2 linked regions of the Schizosaccharomyces pombe genome follow. Each later gene encodes a partner of the first gene's protein in a complex. Each region holds a gene or a part of one and is shown on either strand. Other genes may lie near its edges. The genes, in order: tim21 and tim50.

Evidence for each region.
Region 2: tim21 (region 1) and tim50 share a complex: the UniProt entries of both Schizosaccharomyces pombe proteins name them as parts of the TIM23 complex.

What each region holds. Positions count from the first base shown.
Region 1 is NC_003423.3:4,397,159-4,401,086, forward strand, and holds tim21 (TIM23 translocase complex subunit Tim21), read left to right. Parts: upstream 1-2,140; 5' UTR 2,141-2,161; coding exon 2,162-2,833; 3' UTR 2,834-3,243; downstream 3,244-3,928. Other genes in the region: uap1 (UDP-N-acetylglucosamine diphosphorylase Uap1/Qri1(predicted)), read left to right, coding at 182-1,609; adn2 (transcription factor), read right to left, coding at 3,458-3,928. UniProt on the Schizosaccharomyces pombe protein: Essential component of the TIM23 complex, a complex that mediates the translocation of transit peptide-containing proteins across the mitochondrial inner membrane. Required to keep the TOM and the TIM23 complexes in close contact.
Region 2 is NC_003423.3:1,399,136-1,403,748, reverse strand, and holds tim50 (TIM23 translocase complex subunit Tim50), read left to right. Parts: upstream 1-1,920; 5' UTR 1,921-1,972; coding exon 1,973-3,331; 3' UTR 3,332-3,961; downstream 3,962-4,613. Other genes in the region: protein aim19, read right to left, coding at 159-178, 238-331, 380-394, 436-502; COPII-coated vesicle-associated protein Sec31, read left to right, coding at 4,241-4,613. UniProt on the Schizosaccharomyces pombe protein: Essential component of the TIM23 complex, a complex that mediates the translocation of transit peptide-containing proteins across the mitochondrial inner membrane.

The sequences.
Region 1 (3,928 bases):
TGCGTAAAAATTCGCTATTGTGTGGTAAACACGATAGTGCGAATAAAAGTAAGACATTGCAAATTAACTGACAATAGTAGTAGAGCACTTGAAGAAGCGTAAATAGCATTTTTTTAGCGATTCAAGTTTGCCAAACATTCATTTTTTTTTTTTAGACTGTATTTATAACGCTAAATACGAAATGGACGACAAAGAATTGTTTGATCGGTCTATATTTGAAGAAACTAATCAGTTACATTTGTATGATCAATTGAATTATTTAAAAAAGAATGACCTGCAAAAGTTTAGGAAACTTTTAAATCAAGTTCAGCAATTGGACTTACGGTCATTGTGGTTGAAGTATCGAAATGCTAAAGCGACAAGCCAAGAGAACAGAAAATTGTCCCCTTCAGAAGTTGGTCCACTATCTATTGTAGATACGTCTGACTCAAGTTGGTGGAGAACAGGTCTTCGGGAAATTGCTAGAGGTCATGTAGCTGCCTTAGTATTGGCAGGAGGTCAAGGCACTCGACTTGGGTTTGCTGGTCCAAAAGGTTGCTTTAGACTTGGGCTGCCTAATAATCCGAGCATCTTTGAGCTGCAGGCACAAAAAATTAAGAAATCGTTGGCGCTCGCCAGAGCCGCATTTCCCGATCAAGAAGCCTCTATAAGCATTCCATGGTATATAATGGTTTCTGAATGTACGTCAGAGGAGACAATTTCTTTTTTTAAGGAGAATGATTTCTTTGGTATTGATAAGAAAGACGTTTTTTTCTTCCAGCAAGGAGTTTTACCTTGTCTAGATATCTCAGGTAGGGTCCTTTTTGAATCTGATTCTTCATTAGCTTGGGCTCCTAACGGCAATGGAGGTATTTATGAAGCTTTGCTTTCCTCTGGTGCATTGAATGATATGAATAGAAGAGGTATACTCCATATTACGGCTTATAGCGTTGACAATGTTCTTGTTTTGCCGGTTGATCCTGTATTCATAGGAATGGCTACTACTAAAAAACTTGAGGTTGCCACTAAAACTGTTGAAAAAATCGATCCTGCTGAAAAAGTGGGTCTCCTTGTATCTTCCCATAATCATCCTTGTGTTGTAGAGTACTCTGAAATTTCTGACGAAGCATGCAAAGCTACAGAAAATGTTGATGGTCACAAGCATTTGCTGCTTCGTGCGGCTAACATTGCATACCATTATTTCTCTTTTGATTTCTTACAGAAAGCTTCTTTGCACTCAAGTACCCTTCCTATTCACCTTGCATGCAAGAAAATTCCATTTTACGACGTAACGTCTCATCATTATACTACACCTTTAAATCCCAATGGATATAAACTTGAGAGTTTTATTTTCGATTTGTTTCCCAGTGTGTCAGTTGAAAATTTTGGATGTTTCCAGGTACCACGTAGGACTTCATTTAGTCCTCTAAAAAATTCAAGTAAATCTCCCAATGACAACCATGAAACTTGTGTAAACGATATTTTGAGTTTAGGTAAAAGCTGGATTTTAAAGAATGGTGGTATCTTAAGTCCAAGCGACTGCACCTATGTTTCCCCAGAATGTAGTTTACAAGGAGAATCACTCGAGTGGATTAAAGGGAAGCAGGTTAGCAATTGTAAACTTTACTAGTTTCCTCTCCTATATTCAACTATTTTTAAAGGTTTATATAAACAATGTAACAAAGTCAATGTGATAAATTTATTTACTTTCATTTTATATTGTACAATAATCGTCGAAGCACTAATTGCTGTTCTTAATCAGCAAATCAACATTCAGGATTTCAATTACGGTTTTACTTCGATTGTTAATATATTAATTTAATAAATTAATTGACCGTGCGTTTATTGAATTTATTAGTGACTGAAAATTTTCTAAATCATCTTCCACCTAATTCGCTTTCGTTCATTTTAAAATAACCCTGACTTTTAATATATCGTTGTTTAATCATGATGTTGCATTATTACTCCTTTCTTTTCAAGCTAAATACTCTCAAATTTTAGTATGCTTTTTACTAAATTACCTGACTAACGGAATAATGAGGTGTAACAACCATATCACTGCTAAAGCTCAAAAATTTAACGAACTACATTGCATCCTATGTCGAGCTCACTAGACATTGCCTTTATGCCGTTTAGCCTCGTCACTATATACATCTTCTTTGCATCTTTTTGTATCAACTAGATGATTCGTACTATTCAAAGGCAGAGCGCTACAAGGTTTTCTTCAGCTTTGGTTCAGAGGAGATTATACTCTTTGGCTTCTGATTCTCTCAATAAACAACGGAAACCACAAGAAGAAGGGCGCCTGGCACGAATTTTCAAAGATCCGTCTAACAAAGCTTGGAAGGATTTGACGGCTCCTCAAAAAGCATACAGAACTTCTGCTAATATTGGAAATTTTTCGATTGTGATATTTGGAGGCGGCGTTTTCGGATTGATTATATATGCACTTGTCACTAGTATCTGGAAGGGCGAGGCACATTACGGTGATGAAGCTTTTGAACTTTTAAAGGCTAATGAAGAATGTCGATATGTTTTTGGAGATCACATGAAAGCCCTAGGTGAAGCCACGCATCCTCTTCGTCGAACTCATGGTATATTGACTAGTCGTGTGTGGGATCACCATGGTGTAGAACATCTAGTACTACAATTTCACTTAATCGGTAATGAGAGAAAAGGGCACGTATTTGGAAGACTTGTAAATGTTCAAGGTGACTATAAATGGGAATATCTTTTCGTTGATGTTGCAAATTACGGAAAAATCATAATTTTTGATCATACCAATTCTGTACGACAACAACATAAGAATTTTGGTTTATGGGGAAGCTTAAAAAATATTACATGGGGAAATTAGAATTTCCGAATGATAAACGCACGACGGAAAGGTATAGCTGTTAATTTCAACCGAAAAGGAAATCATTGAATTATTTCTCGATTTTAATGGTTTGATTAATGGTTTTTCGCAGAGAATTAATTTTCTAATTTACGAATTAATTTACAGGCGATGTTAATGATTTTTATCAGAATTAGCACACTTAGTTATGCAGTATTTGGATGTATATTGCAAAAAATAAAAAAATCGTCGACACTTTATTACTAATTAAGCGATCGAACCTCATGATTTGTTGTTTAATTAGTTAGTATAAAGAAGCGAATTTGTACGAGGGGCCTTTTCGCAGGGGCTGATTAATCGCCAATCTAATGTACTACCTAAATGTGTTTAGTTATAAAAAATATAAGAATGATTCAAAGCACATGAAATAATTTTGATTATTAGATATAAAGTACAAGATGTAGGCCGGTATTTATAACCGAGTACACTAATCCATATCCAACTAGCAATTAATTATATATTAAATTTTTATAATGACAAAACGCAACGCATTCAAAAAAGATGAAAAAATCTGGTATATAATTTCCAAATAAACAAATTAAAAAAGAAGAAAAACAAGGATAAAATACTTAAGTTTCGACAAAATTAAGCAGCAGTCGAGTCTTCATTATCCGGCAAATTAAACAATCCAAACCATAAATCGTCACCAGTACTAGTATCTTTTAAAAATTTGTCGAAGTCAAAATCATTTAGAAGAGCCGCATCGATGTCTGTTGAATTTCCAACATCCAATAATTGATTGTCTGAAGATTTAGTGGCAACTGTGGTAGACTCCGTAGGTGCAGAAGGAGTCGCGGAAGTATCAGGATTTGATTTTCCTGACTGATTTTGATTATCCAACTCAGAATCGGATTTGTGAACATTTGCTCCTTGCGATGGTTCCAAAGCAGGACCTACACTTGTTGCTTCATTTGTTGATGATTCGGGGTTGGTAGTGTTGACGGTCGGTGCTGGAGTTGGAGCATTTGAATTAGCAGAAGAAGGCTTTTGTTTTGATCGAACGTCCAATGGAGAACTGGCATTTGGAGTGGGTCGCGATGAATGAGTTTGTTGTAA
Region 2 (4,613 bases), 3.0 Mb from region 1:
ACTTGAAACTTTTTAAAACGAAATTGAACACATTCATAAAAGCTGCTTAATGATCGTGAGGAGTAATATTTGAAATCAAACGTCTATCCTTAAATTCCTATGTATTTTACCAAGGCAACATATAATGAATTGGAATACTAGTCACCAAAATCACTTACCACCACTAGCAATTGCAAGACTGAAAAAGTAATTAGTAAAATAGAACAGTACAAAAGAAATAAGTATATTTGTAAATACCCTCCTATAGCATTGAATCCACCACACAAAAGACAACCAGGAACGAAAGGACCGCCATAGGGTCGTTTAAATGCTCTAGGTACAGAAGCAATTACTGTTTTATAGAAATTAGCTAAATACTGAATTAATTAATTTCGCATACAAGCACCACCAAAGGCTAAATTTAGTTAGTTCACGTTGTGAAGTTGATTCACATACCATAAGCAGGGATATAGCTTTGATATATCCTTTGGAAGTATGATTTTCTGAGTTCTTTATTTTCCATTATGAGTTCTTACAAGGAAGATTAAGTTTACAAGAGACAAAGGTGAGATGGGAGAGACTGAGTTGCACTTGCGTAATGTCTTAGACGATGAGAAATAAACCTGGGCAGCAGTAATTTGTATCTTTTGCTTTTTATTTTAAATAACATAATATTTTCTATAAATTTATGTCTAAAAATCTATCAACTTAAATTGCATTGATTTGTGGCTTTTTCATTTGTAACAGGAACACTTGCTAGGATTGGAGGAATGTACTTATGGTATATTTCACGTTCACAATAAATATATTAATGATAATAGGTCTTTATCTTTAACGGATCATACTTCTGGTTCAATATTGCAAGGATGGACTTGCATGTTATGAACGTATTAAGTTAGATATCTCGAGTCAACTATCCAGTCAGATTTATACCGAAAATCAATAAATGTGCAGACATTGACATTAAATTAGAAAATCATCCTTTAAACAAAAGCAAACTAGGAAATTTGATTTGAAGGCTACGACTTGTTACGCTAACGACTTTTCATATTTCCGAAGGCCACTGATTCGAAAGCTAAAGTGTAGCTGAAGTAAAATCACAAGGCTGTATAAAAATCTTTAATTACCTTGAATTTACCTGATGAAGCGTAAACTTCACAAAAGATGTCAATTTTTCAAACTGTTTGAAATAGATATATATTTCAAATTTTAATATCTACCATCTCTAGCGGCTATGCCCGAGTGGTCTAAGGGGGCAGATTTAAGAGGCCTCGGCCTTGATCCCTGCTGTTGTAAAACGCGAGAGTTCGAACCTCTCTGGCCGCAATATATTTTTTACAAATTTGTTTGATGACTCGCAATAGCGCGTTAATTTGTAAACAAAACAACATCTTGAATTCTTAATTTTGCGCCAATTCTCTTTTTTTCATTTATAATGATAGAATAATATATGATCTCGAGTTATTGCTGTGATCCTTCGAAAATACAGAATGCAATATTACAAAATATTTGCAAAGTGGATTCGTATAGTAAGTGATGTTTTTTGCAAGAGAAAAGACAACTGGCTTGTTTCGCCCATTGTCTAAATTAAATTATTCCGGAATTAACTCTTTAAAAATTATCTGGTAAATTATTTTATAAATCTAATAAATTTTGGCTGGAAACATGAACCTTCTTACCGTGCATTACCACCCTCGTTAGTATAATAATCCACAAGCATTCTTTTAGCATAGGACAAAAACTCTGTTCCTTTTTCCATTTCTTTTCCCTTTTTTATGATACTTTTCTCGATTTATTTGTCAAACCTATCGAGTCATACTGTCCGTCTTATTATTCTCCTGCTAATAGATGCATAAAAATAAAGGAGGTTTTACGAGATACCTTACAGTTTGATATCTCAGTGCACTGAAAATACATGGTTTCTTAATGGACTGACACTACGCAAACAACAACAAATTGCCGTACAAAGATAAAAAAGACAACAACATTCAAAATGTTGAACAGGTCTCTTCTTTTTCGTAATTTGAGGCTTGCTAGACCTCGTCCTTTTTTGCCCCTTGTTGGCAAACGGTTTGTGACTGAGAAAAGCCAGTCGCAAGAGGAAAAGGACACATCAAAAATCACCGAAAACGCAAAAGAAGAAGTTAAACGGGACACTTCTTCACTTGCGAAAGAGTCATTAAAATTACTTGATTTAAATGGTTTGAATGATGAGTCCTACACTGGAGACCCTGGAAAAGGACCCGAGTATACTAGTTCAACGATGCTAAAGCGAGAAAAGCAGGCTCGTTATGCATTTTGGGGTTTCTTGGGATTAACGGGAGGTGGTTTACTTTACTACGGTCGTCGCTATGGTCCTGATGAGAAAGAACTAGAAAAGCAGTATCCCGCTGCTGGTTATTCCCCTTCAGATTGGTGGAATAGGGTAAAGGCCCGTACAAATAACTTCTTCTCTTACTATCAGGAGCCTGCATTTGAAAAGTTGCTCCCTGATCCTCTTCCTGAACCTTATAATCGACCTTATACCTTGGTCTTAAGTTTGGATGATCTTTTGATTCATAGCGAATGGACTCGTCAACATGGTTGGAGAACTGCAAAGCGTCCTGGTTTAGATTACTTCTTGGGCTATCTCTCCATGTACTACGAAGTAGTCATCTTTACTAGACAGTATTTAGCAACTGCCAAGCCTATCATCGATAAGATTGATCCATACCACGTAAGTATTAGTGCCGTACTTACTCGCGAGTCAAGCAAATATGAGAAGGGTAAGGTTATCAAAGATTTATCTTACTTGAATCGTGACCTGTCTCGAGTGATCATGATCGATACGAATCCCGAGTCATGGTCCAAACAGCCTGATAACGCAATTGCCATGGCTCCATGGACAGGAAATCCTAAGGATAAGGAATTGGTCGGATTAATTCCTCTTTTGGAGTTTATTGCTATCATGGATATTAAAGACGTTCGTCCAGTTCTTAAAAGTTATCAAGGTAAAAACATTCCCCTTGAGTATGCCCGCAGAGAGGAAAAACTACGCACCAAGTTAATTGAAGATTGGAATGAGAAGAAGAAGAAAGGCAGTTCCTTTTTGTTTGGAGGACGGAGTGTATCTGAAGAGCCACCCAAATTAATCATTGATATACAGCGTGAGCGACAAAAGGCTGCTTATGCTGAATTTAAAAAGTATATTGACGAAAATGGACCTAAAATGCTTGAAGAAGAAAAGGCTCGAGAGGCTGAACAAAAAACAAGCATCTTTAATCTTCTCTTCCATCCAGAAGAGGTTCAGCAACAACAGTTAGAACAAATGCAGCAACAACAATTTTCACCCGAAACAAATGCTTCCAAATAGGCTTTCGATGAAACCCGTGTCAGCGTTTCCTTCCTGAAGAACATTCAAATGAAATAAGAAAAAGGAAAAATTAAACAATAATACGTCCCTTGTGCTTGTTGCTGACTGACACAATGCGGTATTCCGCTTTATTTTGTTCTCTAATTTATGAGAAAATGTAACAACTTTCAAGTCGTATCATTCTGCTTATTTTGGCTTCGTTTTGTCTCATGCCCATGTCTTAATACTTCTTTTACAGGACGACAATTTTGCTTTGGTACTTTGGATTCCTTTTCTCCACCCAAGCTCCGTTCTTTCTAATTCATTTCTCCTACGTTTCCAAGGGTATTGGTGCAAATTCGAAATCTTATTCAAAATTTACTTCTTATATTCAATTCAACCTACAAAAAAGTATTCTTTTAATTTTTTCCTTACTGGTTTTTTTTGTGTACGGACCATGCTGGGAATACGCTGGTCTTCCGAGTTTTTGTTCCTTTATACTGCGCACTTAAAGTGTTTACCTTCTTGGGTCATCCTATTTAAAAATTTGACTGACTATGTAAATTTCCACCAAAACAGGGTATCTATGAATTCTTGTATATAAGCATCAATCAAGGGTTTCCTTCATTTTCGTAATAATAATAATATTGTCCATCTATTTTTTTTTTACTTTTAGTGAGAATTTACCACTGAGTTCCAAAGAAAGCTTTATGTACTGCACTATGTGTATTATCCTTTGTTACCTATGCTACCCTTTAGCCTACTACTACCACATGTGGACTATATGTATTAAAAGAAACTACTAAGAACCAACCACTTTAAGAGCCCACACATCATACCAAACAAAAAACGGGTTAGCTCGCCTGTTATACTATAGTTGAAACAGGATAAAAAGGAGTTTTTACAATATTTCACAAGTTGGTGTGAGTTATGAGACTGAAGGATATAAGCAAAACGGCTACGTTGGCGTGGTCGCCCCGCGGGGTGAATGATAACCAAGCTCTGTTAGCGTTAGGAGGATATACCGGGACGGAGGGTTCTAAAAACAGCGACACCTTGCTTGAATTGTGGAATGAAAATCCTGAATCACAAAAACCCGTTGGATCTATCGACGTGAAGACTAGATTTTACGATTTAGCATGGGAGAAATCGTTAGATAAGCCCATGGGTGTAATCGCTGGTAGTTTAGAAGATGGCGGTATTGGATTTTGGGATCCTGCTGCTATTTTGAAATCAGATGAAGCGTCCGCTTCAATTGCTACCTATAAATCCGAAAACGGCTCGATTCTCGGCCCTCTTGATT